Arabidopsis thaliana: one gene and its partners. The protein of the gene in region 3 interacts with the protein of the main gene of each other region in a pairwise test. Each region holds a gene or a part of one and is shown on either strand. Other genes may lie near its edges.

Region 1 (5,297 bases), on a different chromosome or scaffold from region 3:
TTCACATGGGCTGATTAATATATTAAAAGAAAAAAAAAAGAAATTTGAGAAAGGAATAGCTAGGCCTAGGGCTTCGTCAGGAATCTCCATGAAACGCAAGGACGTACAGATTTTGTAGCAGCCGAAGTAAGTTAGGTCCGATATCGCTACAGTATCTAGATTGCCTGCGAAGTCTGTAATGAAGAGCCACAAAAACTAAAGTCATTTGCCGAATCAAATCTAGGGTTTGTTTAGGAGGCGCCATGAAATGTAACGAGCGAGATTGTAATAACGATAACGGGGAGGAAGATGAGAAAGACACAAACACAAGTAGGTTAGACTTAGATTCGCTCCCTCTTGATCTAAATATGGTTGTACTAGCTAGATTGCCTGCCAAGTCTCTTATGAAGTTTTGATTCGTGTCAAAGATGTGGCAATCCATCATCCGAAGCCGAGGGTTCATTGATTACTTCTTCTCTATGTCCTCGAAGCAATCGCGGTTAAATTACCTGCTACCACTGCTTTGATCGTGGGATACGATCCTATTGATGATCAACACAAAGCATTATCCTTGAAGAGAAAAAGGTATGATATCTAGTGGTCATCTGGAGAACAAGTTATGAACATTGGGAGATGGTGAAGTATGGATACACATTAAAGATACCCCTTTACCTTATAGGGCGGGTCATCAAGCGAGTGTATTCATCAACGGTTTTCTCTACTAAGCTGCTTTCTTAACCAAAACTAAAGAGACAGTTTTGGTTTGTTTTCATTTTAGAACTGAGAAACTGAGTTTTATCAATGCACTTAAGGGTTTTGTGCAATGGGGAAGTGAAGCAGTATTCATTGAATACAAAGGGAAGCTTGCTTCCATTGTGAGCGACCATTATGATCGGTTTCCATAGTTTCGATTTATGGATACTAGAAGACGTCGAGAAACATGAATGGTCAAAGCAAACATGTGTGTTTCCCTCCTCTTTTTGGGATGATGTTGAGTGTGCTAAAATGTCATTTCCAGACACCAACAAGGCTGGTGAGATCATTATTGCCCCAAAGAGGTTGTCACTCAATTTTCGACCCTTCTACATTTTCTACTACAATGTTGAAACAAAAAACATAAGAAGAGTTAAAGCTCCTAGGATTTGGAGACAGTGAAGAGTTTAGGCGCTCTTATGGATTCGAAAGAACCTCCGGCTCCCGTGAATCTCTTGTTCTGATCGCACATAACCACACGTCCAGAGTGTTGGCTTTTTTAAGGATCCTAGAATTAATTTAACTTGATTCGTAGGATCCTAATGTAAGAGATAACTGAAAACTTGCCTTTTATTTTAGTTTCATTATTTTATCATGTTGATTTTTCAAATTTTCAACACTAAACAAGCTACAGTTTGTATTGTTAATCTTTTGGGTTTGCTGAGACGTGTGTTCATTATTTATGTTCATGTTTTTACTTCTTTAGTGTGTTCATTTGCTCGCTATATAGGTAGGTGTGGGAAGTAAATAAATTATGGATTGAGAAAGAGATATACAGAGTATTGATGTTTTTGCGAATAATATATCCAAAGTAAGATTTTCTATGAAACAAAATATATTTGATTTTAGCAGATCTATTTAGTTATGTATTTTAAGAACAAAAAACAAAGTAAAAACAAATTTATGACCAAACTTCTTCAAATATAATTGAAATATCCGGCTCTACGGCGCAGAAATACATTACCCAATACATAAAAATATAACTGACTTAAAGGTAAAACCTTCAACTCTTACAACAATTAACTGAAAAGAAAAGACATTATTAGAGATTGGTCTTTTGAAATGGACAAAACACAAATGCAAACTACTGAAACACATCACACAACGGTGGTGTTGGTGGTGGTGGTGGTGGTGGCGTTGTTGGAAGGCATGTGACCGGTGGTAGTAAGACCAACGGTTGGTGGTTGGTGGTAGTTGTAGTAGTTTCCGTTCATGAAAGGGATGTGTGCATGCTCTGCAGCATAACCCACTTGTTCATAAGGATATTCCATCAACATCTCCATGAATGGATCATCTTGAAACGGATACTGATGATTTGGATCCAAACTGAGATTATCATAGATTCCATGTTGGATCTGATGATTAAAATCCACAGGAGCTTGGTATTGAATATTATCACTAAAAGCAGTAGGGATATAGGGCTGAATCGGCTCATACTGATTCTGAGCCATAGGAGGACCGGCACCCGCAACAGCAAGAGGAGCCGCACCCACACCCGCAACAGCAAGAGGACTCGCACCCGCCCCCGCAACAGCAAGAGGAGCCGCACCCGCACCCGCAACAACAAGAGGAGCAGCACCCGCACCCGCACCCGCACCCGCAACTGAAGTATGAAGCGGAGGAGGAAAGGAAGAAGAAGACGCACCATTGTTTGTAAGGAGCATGACACTTGAATTAAGCTGATTGATATAGTGATCAATATAAAGACTTAAATCTTGAAGGTCCCTTGCACCATACTGATGCTCACTCATCTTACCTTCAACACAATCAAACATAAATTGCCTAAGCTGAGATTCTCGGTTTTCACGACGTAGACTCTCCAGTTTCTTTGTTTCTTTGGTAATTTTGTCCTGCAAGTAGGTCTCATGACTCATCATCAGCTTGGATTGTTCTGTCGCCGGCCTCTCCATAAACATGGAAACCGCCTCTTGAACACCTTCGGTTGACGGCCACACCACTGGATTCTCGTACGGACTGGAGATTACCGCACATGCTTTGACGCCGCAGAGAGTTGTTAGCTCATGGAGTTTGTTCGTTATCCCTCCCTTCCTCTTCCTGAATGTGGTTCTCCTTGAGGTCTTATTAGCTATGAGTGATAACTTAATTTTCGACCTCATTATCTTTGTTTTTCTTTTCTTTGGTGTGTGTTTTGTTTACTTTCTTGGCCCAAGACTGTCTTGTTTATATAGAAATGAAAATTGTGCTTTTACACAGTACGTGGCTTTTCACGTTGCTGGACTCATTAGATTTGTTTTGTGTTTACTGTCTCATTAATTGACGAGGCCACTAATTAAAGCTATGTCTAAGAATAGATTTTCTTTTCTTTTTACTAAGAATAGTTTATCTTCCTATATTACTCTCACTTTTCTTTTAAGAGTAATTTAAAGTTTTGTTTATAAACTATGAAATTTAGTAATAGTTTGAAGTGTTTTTTTTTCTTCTTTTTAAATAGAGTACTCCATCTTCAATTTACATGTAAAATCATGAATATATACAAGCTCAAAAGAGTTGTTTATTTATAGAAAAAAAATGAAAACAATATAACGTGAGTCTTACGAAATATTTAGAAAGCACGAAAGTTTTTGAAAACAATGTAACATGAATCTCACGAAATATGTGTTCTATTTCTAAGAAAATCTTTAAACTACCTATATACATTAAAGGAGAACATACCAAGAAGTTTGTAAACCAATATAATAAGATAATAAAATATCATTAAAATTTATATTAATTAATTTAGTAAAAATATTTGATACTTACAATAATAACAAATGAAAATATATAATAGTAGAGTATTAGAGAAAAATATATTTTTTTAAATCTCAGATTTGGTTATATGAACTTTTTTAATAAATATATTAAAAGAACATTTGTCATGGCCTGCAGGTCCACCTGATTTTTTTTAATCATTAAGTTGATTCTAATTAAAAGGAAATTTGGATAAAATAACTGTTTTATACATTAATAGATGGATTTCTTTCCTCTTTTGGCTCAGTAATAAATTAGTTTAGAGATAATTTGTTAAATCATGCATATATTATACCTTTTGGAGAATACTTTTTCTTTTATTGGGTTAGAATATTTCATTGCATTGCCAGCTAATTATAAGCTGTAAATAGGGAAATTAAAGATTTTAGACTACGTATAGAAAACTTCCAGTTGTTTTTACATACCCAAAGAAATATCTAAACTTTAAAGTATTAATATTTAAATATAGTTTAATTATATATTAATTTTTGGTTTAAAAGCAAAAAATGAACCAATTAAAAAAAGACAAGTGTAATATACCCAAAGTTCAAGTTAATATACCAAAAGTTCTTATTTAAGAACCTTTCTCTTATTTCTCTCATACTTTTTTTGTGTGGTATGATTATAATGAGAGAGAATCCAAAAAAAATGGAGGTCTAACAATAACCAAAAAATAAGAAAAACAAGAATGCACATCGTTAATTAGACTTTGTTTGACTGGTTCTCTTCTTATCAATTACATTTACAAAATGTAGAAATTTCTCTAAAATAAATAGCATATTTATTGATTTTTGATTAAATGTTTTCAAATAGTTATAAAAATACTATAGAGTAGAAGATATTACATGAGAGAATGGTAAATAATTCAATCCAGTAGTAGTTTAATTTCCATTCTCTTTAAATGCTAAATTTTATTTCAAGCTCACCGTATATTTTTGGCTCAGATAATAAATAACTTTCATCTGCCATAAAACACTAATTTTCATGTTTATTTATATGTTTAGTTAGGGGCGACTTAAGCTACTTATAGTTATAGGTCATGTTCAAAAGTTTAACTATAGATATCTTAAATAAGGTCCATATATATACATAAGAACTTTTTTTGGTAATCACGATCCGTTTAATCTATGTATTTAATTTACACATACTAAAACAATTCAAGGTATAGTCGATCTTATCTGAACGTTGTAGTAAGCATAACTGGTCACCAAAAATATGTTCTTAGTTGAAGTACACACTTGAATCCAACCCAAAAAACCTCGTCAGTGTTGGGATGATACACGAAGTGAAGCCTATAGTTGAAATAGAACGCTAGGAAGCCATTTTTCTAAAAAAAAATCTTAATGAATACTTAGTAGGTGATAGGTACAGATAGAGATACATTAAGGCTTGTGTTAATTTCAAATTACCTTAGGCCCATAATATATGCATATCCTAAAATATACCTTATTTTCTTAATATCTCAGCTTTTTATTTAAAATTTTCAGAAGAGCCAAATCAATTTAACCATATTCAATCTTAATACAGTCTTTAAAACGGTTTTTAAAGGAGAAGCTTCAGGTGGCACGCATCGAACTAGGAAGACCCTCTAAATCAAGGAGAAGTATCAGAAGGCACTTTACTTAAACACCACAGTCTACTGCTTCTACTTGGAGTTGTATTCACTGAATTACCTGCCTTAGCAACTGCAAACAAAAAATAGAAAACCAGTCTCTGTCCCATCGGAGAGGCCTTACACGGGACCAAAGCAAAGGCCTTTGGGGTGCTCTTTAGGGTCACATGAGCTAAGGATGCTACTCGGTGGTGCAAGGGAGTTA
Region 2 (6,624 bases), on a different chromosome or scaffold from region 3:
GATGCAATGCTCGAAGCAAGTTCCCTCCTACTTTACCCTTTTTGCTTCTCAGAGAAACCCACAAAATTAACTTTCTTCATAATTCATTAATGCAGGTGGGGAGGATGAAAAGACTTGAAAATTGCAGGCCGCTCGAGATTACCTTCACAGGACTCATAGCCGCTTCATTGAACGGTGGTCATGTTGATGATTGCATGGCTATATTCCAATATATGAAAGATAAATGTGATCCGAATATAGGAACTGCGAACATGATGCTTAAAGTTTACGGAAGGAATGATATGTTTTCAGAAGCTAAAGAATTGTTTGAAGAGATTGTCAGCAGAAAAGAGACTCATTTAGTTCCAAACGAGTATACATACAGCTTCATGCTTGAAGCTTCAGCTAGATCACTGCAATGGGAATACTTTGAACATGTGTATCAAACGATGGTTCTTTCTGGTTACCAAATGGATCAAACAAAACATGCATCAATGCTGATAGAAGCATCAAGAGCCGGGAAGGTAACAAATCTTTGTCTAGTTTAAGTGTTTATGGAAGCATAAGCTGTTGTCTAATTTTGTTTGTTAATGCAGTGGAGTCTTCTAGAGCATGCCTTCGATGCAGTACTTGAAGATGGAGAAATCCCTCACCCATTGTTCTTCACTGAACTGTTGTGTCATGCCACAGCTAAAGGCGATTTCCAAAGAGCTATCACACTGATTAACACTGTGGCTCTCGCATCTTTCCAGATTAGTGAAGAAGAATGGACTGATCTTTTTGAGGAGCATCAAGACTGGCTTACTCAAGATAATCTTCATAAGCTCTCGGATCATCTCATTGAGTGTGATTATGTAAGTGAACCAACGGTCTCAAACCTCTCAAAGTCATTGAAATCTCGATGTGGGTCTTCTTCTTCTTCAGCACAACCATTGTTAGCCGTAGATGTAACAACTCAAAGTCAGGGCGAAAAACCGGAGGAAGATTTGCTTCTGCAAGATACAACAATGGAAGATGATAATAGTGCTAATGGTGAAGCTTGGGAATTTACAGAGACTGAACTCGAAACGTTGGGTCTAGAAGAACTCGAGATTGATGATGATGAAGAATCTAGCGACTCTGATTCACTTTCAGTTTATGACATTCTGAAAGAATGGGAAGAGAGTAGTAAGAAAGAATGAAAATGCTTGTAAATTTCCTCAAAATCTTTAGTAGAACAAAATCTCAATTTTTTTGCTTACTCATCTCACTTCAAAATAGTTTCAAGGTTACTAAACAGATCATCCACATACAATAAAAGATCAGTTATACAGAATCTCAGATTCGGAGAAAGAACATACATATGATCAAACTGCGGATTTACACTGTTACTAACCAAAAAAAGAGAGCAGATAGGTTTGGAAACTTAAAAAACTCTGCAGGTGATGAGATATCGCCTGATTCAAGATCGGCACTCTTAAGAAACCAGTAAACCCACTAAGTATATATATTTTATGGCTTGCTTTGTTACAGAACTTCCCCATGATGGCTATTTCTTTCTGTTTCACCAAGGATGATTACGGATCCTGAACTTCAAAGCTTTCATGGCTGCCTTTGCAAATATCTGAGCAGCTTCAGCTTCTGCTTCTGCTCTTTCTGCCTCTTTTGCTGCTTGTTCAGCCTCTGTGATAGCAAATTCTGCCTCTGCAACTGCTCTTGCTGCAGCCTCTGCAGCTTCTTGAGCTGTCATGCCTTTTATCATATATAATTCACCGTCTACTCGGAATTTAGTGAGACTGTTGGCACCGTTCTCCTCGGGTTTTGTTGGGTCTTTCTTGTTGTTTCCTTCCAGAAAGAGTTGAGGAGCCTTCTGTCTTGCACCTGCGGGAATAAAATTAGAAGAAAACCTGTACTTGTGCTTTATCTGAAAGTGAGAAATCACCAAGTAAGTATTTTTGAAAATTCTGAGAGTAATGAAGTGTTAGTGATCATGAATCTTGAATCAAAAGTTGTGTGTTTACCTTAACTAATGTTCCATTCGATGATAAATGCTTTAATCGTACTGCGACATGCCTTTTCATATTCGGTGGAGTCTTGAAATTCTCCTGAAATTTAACAGCTACTAAGTAAGTATGCAACAAACCCCAACCAAACATGTAATCCCAATGGTAGAAATACCTCTATATACAGAAAGATTGATGTTCTGTCAGAACCGCGTAGTTCCCTCAAGTTGGTAATTGCCTCAAAGATGATCTTATCCAAACTACAAAAACAGACAATAGCGCAAGATCAAATCTTTATGAACTCAAGAAAATCGTTATGTGGTGCATAAGTCAGGGAACCAAACCTTGTAATTGATCTCTTAGAAGCACAAGTGCGTGGTGATCCACCACCAGAACCTCCGGGGGAAGTTGGTTTTGCACGTTCATCATCATTAGTCAAAGCCACAATGGTAAGAGCTGTGTTGTTATCATCCTGTTTAGTACCTGGTGGAGTCCTCTTAAGCGCAAGTTTAGCCTTCTTCCTTGAACCCCATAAAGCTGTCACGCTTATATTTCTCCATTTGTCCTGTTATGCCTTGAACTATCAAGATTAGTCCGAAACACGCGATCACAACCTCCAAAAAGCATATTATATTGTATTACCTTAAGATCAACATTAGAGCGAGACTTAAGGATTAAACTAAACTCAGTATCCGAGAGTATGGTACGCCACTTCCCAGTCCCATGCTTAAGAACTCCAGCTTTAAGAGCTGCTTCTTCTTCCGGTGTCCACTTCTGCTTTGGTGCACCCATCCACAGTTATCAATATTTGAATTTCTTCTTTTCTCTGCCAATAGATGTGAACGCTAACATTAGAATCTGTTAAATCGTACGAAACTTAACCACATCAAAGCCATTGTTGAACATTTCTTATCCAATACAAAATTTTGGTCATCTAAATCCAGCAGATACACAAAGCCACAACATAAAAATGTAACTACACAAATCCAAAGAAATTAGATACGCCCCAAAGCTCAATTCAACAAAAAAATGAGTGATTCGAGCAATCTCGAACCAAAAAAAGAGGATCAAAGCCCATTAACAACGTCGCAAATCAACAGGAATTTGGAAATACAGCCATCAATCTAAAGCGATAGCTAAATTATCAACCAAATTCAAATGGGGCGATCGTAGAAAATTAAAAACAAAAATGGAAAATTCAGAGAAGGAAGCAGAAAGGAGGAAGGAGGAGAAGAAGCATGCCAGATCAAACGAAACCAAAGGAGAGTTTTCGAGAGAGAGACTTGATGATGAAAGCTAATTCCTTGTATAGATGTGTCATAGATCAAATGTGATTCGCTGAAACGAACGAAGAAGAAGAAGACCAGAGAGGCTAGCATAAGGAAGAAGAATATCCATAGAAACGAGAAACAAACTTGAGCTTTTCTTTTGTATTCAAGCTAAGGAAGATGTAACCCTATATTTCTCCACATTCACAAATTTGCCTCAAGTTTATCAAATTACACAATAAAACCTACCAACTAAATGAATAGGATCAAGCTGAATAAAATATACTAGTACTATTTTTTAAAAATAATGTATCTATAAAATTTATCGTTGTTAAATCTCACAGATAGTTTAGGGGCTATTAAAGATTTTTCATATAATAGTAAGACCGAAAGCGTAATTTATAAAATTTTGATGGCTAGATTGAAATATGTGTTTTTTTTTTCTTTCTAAAATCTACAGAAGTAGAAGAAACCAAAGCGAAATCAAAAAGCTCAGCAATTTTCCAGATTTCTCTAATTGACGATGGCGCTTTGTGCTACTACTCAAAGGACTATCCGTATAGCGGCGACGCTCCGGCGTGTTGCTCGACCTTTCGCTACTGACGCGGTGGTTGAGTCGGATTACAAGCGTGGTGAGATCGGTAAGGTCTCCGGAATCCCAGAGGAGCATCTTTCTCGCAAGGTAAATAAGCATTCGATTTCTTACGAATTCAGTTTAGAAAATTAGGGTTCGTGATCAGAGAATCGTCTTAATTGAGCTACATCGTGTTCTTGATTTGATTTTGGTCAATCGAATAGTGCTAAGAGTATTGAATTTGGAAATTAACAGGTGATAATATACTCACCTGCTAGAACAGCTACCCAGTCAGGATCTGGAAAACTCGGAAAATGGAAGATTAACTTCGTCTCCACCTTAAAGTATGCTACTTTTTGATTAAGATAATCCTCTTTTCCTCACATTTTATGTCCTAATATGATTCTTATCCTTAAAATTCCTATCTTTTCAAAACTTAAGTCTTCTGCTTGTGACTAGTACTAGTCCATCACTTGTTGATTAGATTTCGATTGACATCACTTATCTATGGCATTCATATGTTTCTAGGTGGGAGAATCCGTTGATGGGATGGACTTCTACAGGTGACCCCTATGCTAATGTTGGTGACTCTGCTCTTGCTTTTGATTCTGAAGAAGCTGCTAAGTCTTTTGCTGAGCGTCATGGTTGGGATTATAAGGTACGTTGTTTCCTTCTTCGTTTTTAGCTCATTTTTTTTTCTGGTCGCATTCACTCACATTTTATGAGAATGTGATGGTTCTGTTTTTTTTTTTTTTCGATCACCATTGTGATGGTTCTGTTTTAAGATCCCTTAATATAGAATTCAGAGTACTGAAAAACTTACATCTAAATCATTGCAGGTCAAGAAGCCCAACACACCATTATTGAAGGTTAGTAACTATCTTTTTGCTAATGCCGCATTATGACTTACGAGCTCTACTCATATGAGGTGTTTAACCCTAAAGCTGGAGATTCACTGGAACGACCCTTGAATGTTGTGTTAAATAGATAGGATATTCTTTAACTTAACTCATATTGCTTCATCAGAAATGGTTTGGTGCCTCTAGTTTAAGATTTAGCTACTAGTTTGACGAGCGATAGTCTCTTTCATTCCTTTGATTTATTTGGTAGAACATTCTTTAGATTGAAGTTTTAACCTAACCCCATGATTGTTCATCATCTAACATCTAACTGCAGGTCAAGTCTTACTCGGACAACTTCAAGTGGAAAGGCAATCCTCAACCAGAAAACTGATGTTACACCTTCTTCCAATTCTTCTCGAGCAAAAGAAGAAACCTCATTTGATATTAATTCTCATGTTTCTTTGTTATTTTAGCATCTGTGAGCTTTTTGGTTGAAAAGAACCATTATCCATGGCTATGTTTACTTATTACAATAATATGATGATGATGATGAAACACACTCCTTTGATATTTCATCAAGATTTCTGATCACTTCTTTACTGGTTTATTTCGAATTCGTGTGATTGGATTATGAAAGAGAGAGATAATTATGGTCGGAGTCAATAAAACATAAGATACCAAAATTCGAATTGAAAGAAGATAACAACAGAAGAAAGATTGTTGAACATTACATAACATATATGAGGAAATAAAAGTTGACTGAGGCAACGTATATAATTATCCTCCGATCAGAAACATGCATCCAAGAGACAGCAACAACAGAGCGCAGCCAAACTGTGACGTATTTATGAACAGAGCAAAGACATATATTAACTAATACAGTATTATTCCACTAAAACCTAAATACAAAGCAAAACAAGAAACCAAAATAAAGTTAATATAAAGTAGAAAAGATGGGATCAAGAACGTACCATCCTTCAAGCATACCGGCGTTTTGCTTCTGCTGCGGAGCTTGAGAGTACTGCGGCGGAGGATAACCTTGTGCAGGGTATCCCTGAGCATATCCTGGCGGTGGATAACCGGCTGGAGGATAACCGGCCGGAGGATAACCGTCCTTAGGTGGATACCCTTTAAACCGAAATTCAAGAGCAAATTAAACAAGCAGATCGAAGAAGATAAACCAACTATCCAAAACTAAAGAAAAAGAGATAATACCTTGGGGAGGAGGAGCACCGACAGGATGTTGTTCTTGATGATACATCTTTCTTCTTCTTCTGAGTTCTTTGAGCTTTTTTTTCTTTCTCTCTTTGTTTAAAAGCAAACTCTGTTCCTTTCCTTTATAACGAAGCTATGCCGGTGAGGAATAATGATATATACTTTTAATTTAATAAAGGAACCAGAAAATAAAGGAAATATTCTTTAAATAAAGTCTTTCTTGCATCATAAAGATTACGATTAAATTTCTTTGAAAATTAGGTGATCTTCTTCTAATGTGCTAGAAACTTGACCGTACAAGAATTTAATTTCAACTACTCTACTACTAGAATCATTAATTATGGAATAAAAATATCAGAAAAGGGGTTCTTAGTAATCATAAATTTACACTGTTTTAAATTCTAACTCCAAAATGCTGCATCATATGTTTCAAATTCAAAAGAATTAAGCAAATTATGTCAACAAATTGACAAAAAAAAGTTTAAGTTACTATGAAGTTAAAATCACTATTTGACACATAATTTACCCTCTTCTTTTGCTAATACAATGAATACATTTCCGTCAATTTTTCAATATCCATCGTTATCCTTGTACTATCATAATAGGAGAAGAAAACCAAATATAATACAACTTCCTCGCTTGAATAAAAGTTTGAGAGAATTTCAGAATTCGAGAAAAATATGAGTTTTATCCACCCACATGTTAGTCCATATTCCCATGTCATAGATAATCATATTGTAATATTCGAATATTAATATCCATAC
Region 3 (6,410 bases):
TCTCTTAGCTCTAAAGTTCTGCACCAACTGTTCAACACCAATGAACACCTCCAATGGCAGCAAAAGTCAGCCCGTGGCTTCCCATCATCTTCAACGTTCTGATGAGTCCTGGAAGAGCAACGTTTCTTTCAATACGAGGGACGTCTTTCCAGTTGCAAAACCAGTCACAGCATCTTTGAATGTCTTCATCATCGCTCCATTTTCCTCTTCCAAGTATCTCATTTCTGTAGGATCCATGATAATTTCTTCAACCGATAAAGCTTAGTCCTTTTTATGTCAAACGTGATCTAACAAAGAAAATTGGCAGCAACGACATAGTGGAGAACACAGCCAAATACTATTATTATTGGGCCTAATTAAAGCCCATTAATGATTCTCTTTTTTTTTTTGTTGTTCTCCCTTCCTCTCAGCGCGAACGCAAGCTCCGTCGGCAATGGCAGAATCGACGAGAAATCTGACTGGGCTTGGAGGAGAAGCAGCGAAAGAAGAAGATGATGAGTACATGGGAGACCTTTCTCAGTTTATTCCTCAGGAACTTAGCCAGACCTCCAAAAGAAAGGTATCTTCAGGCCAAAATTTTCATCTTCTTATGTCCACAATTGTCAAGCTCCTGAATCCAAATTTGTCCAACTGATTTTGAATAATCTCCAACAAATTTCGTTTAGTTTGATAGCTGAATGAGATTTTGGGATTATATTTAAATTCGTATATAAATGCTTTTGCAGGAATCTGAGAAGAAAACTGTAATCGTAGAACCATCACGGAAGAAGTTAAAAAATCTCAATTGGCACGAGAGACGAAGATTGGAGAAAGAGAGGAAACAGATAGAAGAAGATGAGCAGACATTGGCTCGTATAGTAGACACTCCAATAGGAGAGTCTAACATAGGGTTTAAGCTATTGAAGCAAATGGGTTACAAGCCAGGTTCTGCTCTTGGTAAACAAGGCTCTGGTAGAGCTGAGCCAGTGACTATGGATATTCGAAGATCGAGAGCCGGTGTGGGAAGAGAGGATCCACATAAGGAGAAGAAGAAAAAGGAGGAGATTGAGGCTGAGAATGAGAAGAGAAAAGTGGATGAGATGTTGGAGGATTTTGGGTCTAGACAGAAGTCTCAATGGCGTAAGAAAAGAGTTTTGATTAACTTTAGGAAGGCTAAGGCTGCTCTTGATCAACTTGAGAATGTAGAAGTTGTTCCGGAGAAGAAAAATGAGGAAGATGAAGATGGTAAGCCTGATGAAGAAGAGGAAGAAGAGGAGGAGATCACTGAAGAGGTATGTTCTCCTAGGAAACAAGAGTTGGAACTTTTGGTGTCTTTCATCTTTATGAGTAATGGGACCAATTGATTAGAGTTTGAGACACTGTTCTTTAGGTTGACAAGTTTAGTTTTACTGGTTGCAGGATTTGCAAGAAATATTAATGAAACTGAGAGCTGAACATTGGTATTGCCTTTTCTGCGGGTTCCAGGTAACTGAATGCTTTGAAATCTTCTTTTATCGATGTTTTTTCTGAATCTTGAATGTTGAGTTTGTGTAAGTATACACTAATATGAAATTTCACGATATGTGAATCAGTATGAAACGACTGAAGCTCTTCTATCCAACTGTCCTGGCGTAAATGAGGATGATCACTAGATAAGCCACACTAGTATGGAAGCACACAAACACAATCCATGTCTGCAGAAGCTTCAGGTTGAAAATTTCCTGATGTGGCTGAAGAGGAAGCAAGATACAGAAGGAAGACTGTGTTTGCAGTTGAGGTACACACTTAGAATCTTAAGGACTTGCTAATTCTCATGCTTTTAAATAGATAGTAGGATGATAAAAGCATGTGGAACTCTGATTTGATAAGACAATATATTGATGATAATGTTGATGTTTCAATTTGATCTCCAAGTATGTAACCTGAGTTTCTGTTGGATGCAAATCGTAAACTATCGTAGAGATCATCAATAAAACCAAAGTTCTTAAAAAGATAAAAAGCCATGAAAAAAACATCCAAACGGAAAGGCATTATCGGGCATCATTGCCTGGTTTTAAAGTAGCACACAAGAGATAGTTGATAAGATTTTAGTAACAAACTGATGAAGATCTTAAAAGGTGAAAGAGATTAGACTCAAAGAGACCAATTGAAATGTTGAGGAGAGGAGTCATAAGCTCTTGTGTTCTCGGGTTCCATGTATTGCTTCAGAACCTGCTGATGAAGATACAGCTCAAATCCACCCATTGTGGTGCCATTGCTTATCTGGAAATCTGCTGGCTCCGAGATTTGACTCACAGGAGACATATAATGTGAATTGCTCTTTTCGCCCGCGATGACTTCCCAAGTTTGGCTGAGGTACTGCTGATGTGTTGAGATGGGCGGCTGATGGGTTGAAATGGGCGGTGGCTGAGCCATTGTAACCTTATCGGAGAATGAGATCATCGAGTCGAAACCAGAAGATGGTCGCCATGTATTTGTTGGTGTCTGAAGTTGCTGCTGATGAATTGGGTATGAGTTTGACAGAAGAGAGAGAGCACAGCTTGAATCTGTGCTATTGTTGTTTATCATCTCTGGACATGTAGTAAAGCTTGAGCTTCCATGTGATAAAACATTCATGTGTGGATGGGTTTCCCTAACTGGATTAATCTGCCACGGTCCAGGCCGCTGCATCACTGATCTTGCGGTTGACCACGCAGTAGGATCTCCCAAAACGCTTTTAATCATTGCAGCATTGGGGTTTCCTGACACACAGGAAATTCAATAACTTGTTTTTGAGACTCATTGAGCTGAAAAGGGCTGTGTATATTGGGATCTAACCGTAAAGAGATGGAGCGATTCGAGAGTAATGAGAAGTGAAAAGAGCCGTTGTGGGTTGTGGTTTTCTTCGTCGTTCGTTATGACAAGCGAGTCTTCTGCGACAACTTCTTTTCTCCAAGTCAAACTCAGAAAGCTGGTGAAACCTGATTTGATATAAAGAAAAGAAAGCTTCAAAGAAAAGCAACCTAAATAATGCATAAGACAAGAGACAAGACCACATAATAACTAGCTGTAAAGTTTAAGTTTTGATAAGACTCTTCAATGACGTTAAGAGCCAAAACTCAAAAAGCTCAAAAGGAACATAAAACCTGAAAAAAGCGTAAAGCTATGGTTCCCTTAGAACTATTCCGATCACCGGAAATGGCAAAATGAGTAAATAAAAGGAAGAAGAAAAAAGGGGGAAACCTGCTACATTGTTGACAAAACCTTTGATGAAGACCAGAGACAATGACTTTAGATGATTTAGAGTGAATGCAACAAACTTTGTGTCTCGAGTAATAAGCTTTAACATTGCTTAGATCCATTCTACAACCTTCCACTTGGCACCTCGCCGTGGTAGACGACTTACGAACGGTATTGACCCGGTTCTTGCTTCTGGATCCGGATCCATCCTCGAAGTAGATCTTCTGACCAAACCTGAGTCCACCACTGAGTGAAGAAGACTCGGTGGAAGAAGAACCACCTGACTCGGCCTGACCCGAACACATTAACAACTCCATTATGGTTTTGGCTTCCTCTTACTCAGACAGAGAAAGAGATGCTTCTGCTCATCACTCTCTTTCTTTCTAAGTACTGAACTCTGGAAATAGTAAGGACGGAGGAGAATAGAGGAAAGAAAATGTGGTTTTGCAGATTTTAGATGTTGCTATCTTTTAAAGAATCAGAGAGAAGAGAAGAGAGAGAAAGAAAGAAAGAGAAGCTGACAAAAGAAGAGACACTCAAGAGTGATTGACACTAGTCCACGACAGCTACGTGTTTTTAGCGTTTGCGTTTTGGGATGTTGGTGCGTTTTGGTGGTTTTTGTAACATCTGAACAAATAAACACAAAAGGGAGGATAAGGATATTTTTCTTCTTTAACGTACAAAATGATATCCTTAAACGAGACCAGACCAGATCAGGGAACATAACTCCCATGTAAAAATCTACAGCTAATTTATTCTAATTATTGTATACTAGTTTTATACTACTAAAATAGTCTAATGATGATAAAATCACAAAACTATTGATCTTTATTGTAGTTTGTAAAAATATGAATAGATCACAGACCTATAAATGGATGGCTATTTAACTACTTCTAAATACTATTTCTAATTAAAGAGAAACAACAACTTTATTGCTCATTTTTAAAATTCTAAAGTAGAAAGAATTGAGGATTATGGGCAGATAGACCAGAGTGTTGGAACTCAACTAAGGATGTGACTCTTCAAAGGAACTAGAAGGTTATTGAACACTTTTTGAGTTTAGTTCTATTTTTTTTTCTTTCTAAAAATACTTTAGTGATTCTTTTTCTTTTAAGCAATGAGATTTGTTCTTCTTCTTCTCACCATATCCTATGCAAAATCTTTCTTGATAATTGAACAAATATTTATGCAAAAAGAGAGTATGGGAAGTTCGATTTTCACGGTCATGTATCCATCAGAAATTGTGTACTTGAATTTTCTTAGGGTTGTGTGTATCAGTTTGATATTATTCCTTTTACTTTTTGCTTTAAGTTCCTTTGTTTTGATTTCCAAAATTCTACAAAAATACAACCTGAAAAAAGGCCTAAAGCCCCCCCCCCCCACTAATCTGGCTTGACTATCACAAATCTTCTTGATATTTCTTCCTACAATGAACCTTTTCTTTTTCGCTTTTCACAACTTATGACTGTTTCATTTTTGCATAGCCGTCAAAGAGCATTTTTAGGCTCCACTTTGTTCAAAAGAAAGAGTGAGTTTCAGAACGCCATGGAAACTAGGAGGGAAGAGCAATATCCGAAAAATCGAAGTTTTGATTCCATGTAATGAAACCAGAACGCACCCGCATCAAACTCGGGTTTATAACAGCAAAAGTATCTAACAAAAACAACAAAAAAAATACCAAAAAGGCGGTTTCAAAAGCGTTAAGAACCTCTTTTCAAACCCCATTACATTCAACAACAGCTTCAGCAGCTCGTCTTGGTTTGTTCTTCCTTCTGCTCCCATTCTGCCTAAACCCAATAGACGACGATGATTTCATAGAATCTTCTGTGCTTGATTTTGACCCTACCCCATTCTCTTCTTCAGTTATGTTGCTCTCTTTAGACTCCACTGGTTTCTTCCTCTTCCTCCCATTCTCTGTCACATTTTCTTTACTTGTTACTGAACCATTTGTATCATCATCCTTGTCTTCTTCCTCATCTGTCTTCTTCACTAGCTCTTCTTCTTCTTCTTCTTCATCTTTCACCGGCTTCTGTGGCCTCCCTCTTTTCCTAAAAGCTGGAATCTTTTCTTCCTCGCCGCTCCCTCGATCTTCTCTAGCAGTAGCATTCTGCCTCTTGCCTTTTCCTCTACCTCTTCTCATAACTCTATTCAAACCAAAAACCAAAAACCTCAAGCAACTAGACAAGAAACCTGCAAGTTGAAAAGGTTGCTTTTTAATTACCAGTAGTAACTCATACCTCACAACAACACAATGAAGGCGAACTAAACTCAAACACTATAGAAATTTGTTGAAGAATGCAGACTAAAAAGTGTGAAAAGCAATGTCATTTTTTTCGATATGCACAAAAGTAGAGGATCATTCAAACTGGCAGACACTCCATAGAGGAGGAACTATTCATTGAAGAATCAACACAAGCGCAATCATAAACACGAAAGCAAGATTCCATTTTTTTCATGCATTAGAAGCAGTGCATTGAACAAGTTATTTAACAACATCCAAATACAAATTCTTTCCAAAAAGATCTGAACAAAGGAAACATATATAAGCAACACTTGAGTCACGAGACATTAAACAATTTCATCTCTTAAAAACCTATCCTTTAGAGCTCAATAGAAACCAAGAACTAAGCTACAAGCAAGTTCAATCAATTATCTTCCACGAAAACTAATTGCATGAACAGTCTAAACAAGAAAACAAGCCCTAGTTTCCTTACAATCTCTTCAAAACAGAGAGACAGAGACTCACCTGTGAACCCATTGGTCAGACTGAGACAAAAACCCCAAAAAACCTATAAAGGGTTTCTCTTTTTACTAATTTATAGTTGGGTTCTCAATCGATCTAACTCACGAGTTTCTACAGCTAAAACCCAGATCAGAGGAAAGACTAAGAGTCTAAAGAAAACTGACCAAACCAAACGGAGGAATCAAATCGAATAAAAATCCAAAGGATAAGACTCAAGTTAAAAGAAAGAGATCTAAGAGAAGAAGGAAGGAAGAAAACGAAGAGAAAGAGCAACAGCTAGAGTACTAGTGTTGGTTGAAAAAGATTAAAGTTGATTGCTTTCAAAAGGCTTCTCTTTTCTTTGTTCTAGCTTCTGTCTCTGAGTGAAACTTAAAAGAAAAACGTAAGAATGACGCTTTTTCTTCTCACTACCATCACTGAGACTGACTAAAATGGATCTTAAGCCCGTTGAAGATGGATACGGATTTCA
Region 4 (5,475 bases), on a different chromosome or scaffold from region 3:
AAATCAGAGACTGTGCTTGGAAAAACCGAACAAGCGGCTGCAAAGTAGCGTAACCAAAGAGCGCGGGTATGAGCCAAGTTGCAAACTTCCCAGCTTCTTGAGCAACCATAGCATCTTGTCCAATAAGAGAAAGTATATCACCAATGTATGTCCAGAGAAGAGAGAGAGGAATACACACAAGAAACAAAGAGACAATTCCTGTGTAAGTATGAACACCAAGCTTCTCATATTGCTTAGCTCCATTAGCTTGACCACATAAAGTTTCCAACGCACTAGCCAATCCAAACTGTGTGATTACCACAACCACAATTTAGAATCTTAAGCTAATAAAAATGAAAAAGAGAAAGATCAAGAAAGAGACATACAACGACGCTGAAACCGGTGACGCTGCAGAAAGAAACAGCAATGGCGGTGCTAGAGAGGAAAAGCTCACCGAGATGACCAACCATCATTATAGATATCACCTGAAGAACATACATAGACGAGTTCACTGCAATCATCGGACCGGCGATGTAACTAAGTTTCTTCGTTTCCCGCAAAAACCCATCTTTCTTGTTTACTTCTTCTCTGTCGCTCACAACAAGCAAGCCCTTCTCCGCCGAATCCATTCTCTCTTCTTCTTCCCCTGAGATTTGTTGTTTCAATCTAATACTTTAACCTCTTTCTCCGAATCAACCCTATACTTTATATACTAATATTATATGATATCTTCTGTGGAATTTATAGCGGCGTGTCGTATATTGATTCTACACCTCGAGATACAGATACATGCGTCGTCCTCTCTTATTCAGCCGCCATAAATTCTCTCTCGATCTAAATAATGGCACTTGATTATAGCAAATTAAGAAAAGTCTTTGTTAAAAAAAAAAAACTTTACATGCAAATCACCAAAGTACTATACAATAATGCGTTGAAATATTATAATCTTAACTTGTTTAATTAGTCAAGCGGTCTGTTAAAAATTTAATTAATTACAATGTTGATTCATTGATTCATTTTGAATATAAGTATGTTACTTCCTCATAAAGGTATCAAAACGAATCAAAAACAAAATTTTCTCTGTTTTGTTTTTTTATTCATTTTGATATCAAAAATCTTCCTCTTTAAGGTATCAAAAGATTTGTTCAAAAAAGAAAAATCTTCTTGTTTATCATGTGAAGTTTGTGAACCAATCAAAATTTATCTTCAGATCCTTTTTTTTTTCAATTTCATAATCGTAAGTCAAAAGAAAATATCTGTTTGCTTTTTTTCTAACGCACTTGTGTTTCCTCAAACTTATTATTTTTAAACTCATGTGCACGTACATGTAAACATTCATTTCCTCTCTTTTTCTTTTTTTTCTTGTCAAAACATTCATTTCCTCTTTAGTCACTACTATTATCGAAAACATTCATTTCCTCTTTAGTCATTACTATTATAGTATTATAGAAGATCATATATATCATGTGTATGATGAAGTCTCTTGGTTTAGCTGATCTCTTCATGTTCTTTATTACTTTCTTTATCTCCAAACCCCTCACCCATGGCCATCAGTCTTCAACAAGTCAAAGTAAATTGATAAATTCAGTATTTTTCATTAGACACCCCAAAGTATAAAAATGTATCGTTGATACGGTGATACAAGAACCAAAAGATGGAAAGATATATAAAGAATTTTCAACTTTTCATCAACCATCAAAATATAACTCTGATCCAAGTCATTAACGTTCAATTTGGTTAGAGTTCTGTTCTATTATGTGTTGATCCATAAATGGTAAAAAGATTGAATAGTATACAAATAAAAAGAGCCTATTTCAACCCAAACTTTTCTTTCCTAAACGTTTTAAAAATTCAAAAAAATTTGTACCTTAAAATTTGTGTGTAAATCAAAATATAGTTCATTTCTCGAGTTTCATATATATACATAGACGAAAGACATCAAGATCATACACAACATCAGAAGATGAATTTACAAAATACGAGAGAGACCTTCTTGCTAATGCTAACAACTAAATTACCAACCCCACTTCACGCGCCTCTAGCAACCTCAGAAGCTCCAATCACCGTCTTATCCTCTTGATTCTCCGCCGGCAAACCAAAATTGGTCGGCGCGTGAGGTCCAATCAGCTTAATTGAAGCGTTATCATAAGCTAGAGCAGCTTCCTCAGCAGTGTTAAAAGTACCCAGCCAGAGACGATCACGTCGTCCTTTACAAGCTCCTCTTCCACATCTGATCTCCGCCACCCACTTCCCCCACGGCCTCTGCCTCACTCCACGATATTTCTTCTCCGTTTTCGCCGTCTTGAGAAATTCCGCCGGGATCCTGATTTTGAACCGTGTTTTGCAGACATCGAGTTTATCGGCGGAATCGGAAGGATCGATTACGATCTCTTTAACGAGGCGTTTCCCACGGCGCCGAGTCTGGGATGCTCCTCCACGCTCCTCCGTGTCTTCGTCGCTAGAAGAATCGGTGGCTTCTGCGTCGGTGAATGAGATTCTGATAATACGCTTCATAGTGAATTTGCGGAAATTAGGGTTCCGTCTTCGTCTCCATTAAAAGGAAAGCATTTGAGAGAAAGAATATGTTTTTATTCTTTCAGAATCTCTTTTTCTGATGCTTTTCATCTTTACTTATTTACTTCTCTATTTTTTTCTAACCAATCCTATGTGGGCCGTATGGGCCTCAGAGCTGAAAATGCAGTAAAATCCATGAAATTTCTCAACATGGCTTGAAGCCCATCTTCTAAAGGAAAAAACGCTTTACTCTTTTTTCCTTCATCTATGTAATAAGAAGCAGAAATTTAGGAATAAGTTTGAAACTTTAATCACACATAAGAGTAAGTGCAAAAACATGAACAATGTTCTTGCCTTCCGTGTCAATTTTGTATATATATATATATATATATATATATATATATATGTGTGTCAGTATATAATCTCCTTTTATATGATTATAAACTCATTTGTCCCATGTCTTCTTCTTCTTCAATGGACTTACTCATGTGTCTGCTTCTTCTAATCTCTCCGGTTGTTCTGGCCAAGTCTTCTTCCACCGTCCCTGCTATCTTTACCTTCGGTGACTCTATTTTTGACGCCGGAAACAACCATTACAACAAAAACTGTACCGCTCAGGCTGATTTTCCTCCTTATGGTTCTTCCTTTTTCCACCGTCCTACTGGGAGGTTCACCAACGGAAGAACCGTCGCTGACTTCATCTGTAACAAATTACCTCCCAACTCGTTAACTAAAACATTTCTTCTTCTGCAAGGAACCTTACTTTTGTCTCTTTTTTCTTTTCTTGACGCAATAATTGCAGCGGAATTTGTAGGCCTTCCATTACAGAAACCATTCTTGGAATTGCAGATTCAAATCTTGAATGGAACTTCAAACTTTTCAAATGGCATTAACTTTGCTAGTGCTGGTAGTGGTCTCTTGCTTGATACCAACAAATTTATGGTAAATATCTACCTTGACCAAATAAAATGTTTGTTTCTTGTGAATCACTCATTAAGTACACATATCAAATGTAGGGCGTGACACCGATCCAAACCCAGCTACAGCAATTCCAGACACTTGTAGAGCAAAACCTTATCGAAAAATCTATAATCCAAGAGTCTCTCTTCTTATTAGAAACTGGTTCTAACGACATCTTCAACTACTTCCTCCCATTCCGAGCTCCTACACTTTCTCCAGACGCTTATGTGAACGCAATGTTAGACCAAGTGAACAAAACGATTGATCAGATCTACAAACTAGGCGCACGCCGCATCGCTTTCTTCTCCTTAGGTCCTGTAGGTTGTGTCCCTGCAAGAGCCATGCTTCCTAATGCCCCAACCAATAAATGCTTTGGTAAGATGAATGTTATGGCCAAGATGTATAATAAAAGACTTGAAGATATAGTGAACATAATCCCCACTAAGTACCCTGGAGCCATTGCGGTGTTTGGAGCTGTATATGGTATCACTCACAGATTTCAAACCTACCCTGCCCGTTACGGTAAACTCAATATAGTTAATTAACTTCCATCTTTGAGATCTTTTTCAAATGTGTCTATGAGAAAGCTGAATCATGTTTTTGGTGAAGGGTTTTCGGATGTTTCAAACGCGTGTTGTGGGAACGGTACACTGGGAGGATTGATGCAGTGTGGAAGAGAAGGATACAAGATTTGCAATAACCCAAATGAGTTTCTGTTTTGGGATTTTTATCATCCCACAGAACACACTTACCGTCTCATGTCAAAAGCTTTATGGAATGGAAACAAAAACCATATCAGACCATTTAATCTCATGGCTCTTGCCACCAACAAGATCACATTTTAATACTTATATCTCCCTTGTATATAGAATTCATAATGAGTTTGTATCTGAATTAAGACTCGAAATCATTGTGAAAACAAAAGCCAGAAAGTGAAACTTCGCTCCACTTCTGGTCTCTTCTTCCTCTTCTACTGTAACATGAACGCTACAAAATGTTTTTATTGTTCTCTTTCATATCATTATGAAATACAATATCTGATTCTATCTAACTATACCTCTATACTATACGCATTCTACAGAAAGCTTAGGTTCGTCATCTGAGTGATGAGTATCCAAGCCGTTACCAAAGCTATCATCTTTTCTTTGAGGGTGTGGATCCGCAAACACTTCCTCCCTTTGGGGGCGGTTCGCATAGAATATCCATAGCACCAGACATAGTAAGACTCCTACGGAGATCAGTCCGAGTCCTGCGTTCACAATCCTCAGATTACGTACTAACGGTGGACAGTAATCTGAGGTAATACTCATAAATGTTTCCCTAACAAAGTTGCAATCTCGGAAGCTAAGCAATGGAGGCGTGTAATGCTCTAGAGCGTAGCTCTCATTCACAGCTGCTACCAACTGTCCAAAGGTATCTGGCGTTACTCTCCCCACGGTGGTGCAGATTCCAGATGGTGTAACCTCGCATTTGTAATTCTCCCAGACCTGAAAAGAGAAGTTTAGTAAGACATGTCTCAGACCTGGTGGTGTTTTGTTCAAGATATACAAAGATAGGTGAGTAGGAAAGTACCGATGATGCATTTTCTATTGATAGTTCCCAAGGCGAGCACTGGCGATCTTCCATGTTTGCATCAAATGGGATGCATAAAGGAGGCATCGGAGGTCCAGACTGGTTGTAATAGCGGTCTTGACCTGGAGCTGGGTTTGTATTGGCAACAGCATAGACAAAGGTGTTTACAACGGTCACGATGCTGTTGATAACAACTTTACTCTGTGAAAGAGTCTGGTTTGTTGTTTGCTGATCAACGCATGGGAGAATGCTGCTGAGAGCTGTTTCTGCGTGAGGATTATCAACCCATTCCTTCATTGCTACACACGTATCAGAAATTGCACTGGACACCAAAACAATGACATTTAGTTGACTACATTTGCGAGTCTACTTAATAAGGCAAGAGAAAACAAACATTCAGAACAGCAAAATCTTACTTGTTTAGGATCAGAAAGACTCCACAAAGAACAA

The links.
Region 1: the proteins of SPL15 (region 3) and AGL86 interact in a two-hybrid assay, tested with the Arabidopsis thaliana proteins (one large-scale study listed by BioGRID).
Region 2: the proteins of SPL15 (region 3) and TRB2 interact in a two-hybrid assay, tested with the Arabidopsis thaliana proteins (one large-scale study listed by BioGRID).
Region 4: the proteins of SPL15 (region 3) and CRF8 interact in a two-hybrid assay, tested with the Arabidopsis thaliana proteins (one large-scale study listed by BioGRID).

What each region holds. Positions count from the first base shown.
Region 1 is NC_003070.9:11,316,699-11,321,995, forward strand, and holds AGL86 (AGAMOUS-like 86), read right to left. Parts: upstream 2,850-5,297; coding exon 1,830-2,849; downstream 1-1,829. Other genes in the region: AT1G31620 (uncharacterized protein), read left to right, coding at 243-309, 471-564, 758-854, 1,119-1,196. UniProt on the Arabidopsis thaliana protein: Probable transcription factor.
Region 2 is NC_003076.8:26,954,321-26,960,944, forward strand, and holds TRB2 (Homeodomain-like/winged-helix DNA-binding family protein), read right to left. Parts: upstream 3,455-6,624; 5' UTR 3,204-3,454; intron 2,788-3,203; 5' UTR 2,754-2,787; coding exon 2,604-2,753; intron 2,527-2,603; coding exon 2,306-2,526; intron 2,222-2,305; coding exon 2,137-2,221; intron 2,064-2,136; coding exon 1,980-2,063; intron 1,883-1,979; coding exon 1,523-1,882; 3' UTR 1,248-1,522; downstream 1-1,247. Other genes in the region: DG1 (Tetratricopeptide repeat (TPR)-like superfamily protein), read left to right, coding at 1-15, 96-503, 576-1,160; FRO1 (NADH-ubiquinone oxidoreductase-like protein), read left to right, coding at 3,753-3,911, 4,059-4,147, 4,332-4,461, 4,643-4,672, 4,980-5,036; WIH1 (cysteine-rich TM module stress tolerance protein), read right to left, coding at 5,434-5,479, 5,617-5,773, 5,861-5,906. UniProt on the Arabidopsis thaliana protein: Binds preferentially double-stranded telomeric repeats, but it can also bind to the single G-rich telomeric strand.
Region 3 is NC_003074.8:21,442,338-21,448,747, forward strand, and holds SPL15 (squamosa promoter binding protein-like 15), read right to left. Parts: upstream 3,699-6,410; 5' UTR 3,516-3,698; coding exon 3,202-3,515; exon of another isoform or gene 2,940-3,201; coding exon 2,797-2,939; exon of another isoform or gene 2,721-2,796; coding exon 2,113-2,720; 3' UTR 1,906-2,112; downstream 1-1,905. Other genes in the region: AT3G57900 (import inner membrane translocase subunit Tim17/Tim22/Tim23 family protein), read right to left, coding at 1-48, 136-237; AT3G57910 (D111/G-patch domain-containing protein), read left to right, coding at 434-559, 726-1,271, 1,399-1,464, 1,572-1,631; AT3G57930 (rho GTPase-activating gacO-like protein), read right to left, coding at 4,913-5,338. UniProt on the Arabidopsis thaliana protein: Trans-acting factor that binds specifically to the consensus nucleotide sequence 5'-TNCGTACAA-3'.
Region 4 is NC_003070.9:26,819,895-26,825,369, reverse strand, and holds CRF8 (Integrase-type DNA-binding superfamily protein), read right to left. Parts: upstream 2,854-5,475; 5' UTR 2,494-2,853; coding exon 2,008-2,493; 3' UTR 1,699-2,007; downstream 1-1,698. Other genes in the region: AT1G71140 (MATE efflux family protein), read right to left, coding at 1-286, 366-608; GLIP6 (GDSL-motif lipase/hydrolase 6), read left to right, coding at 2,950-3,196, 3,296-3,435, 3,510-3,975, 4,063-4,298; AT1G71110 (uncharacterized protein), read right to left, coding at 4,518-4,940, 5,026-5,347, 5,442-5,475.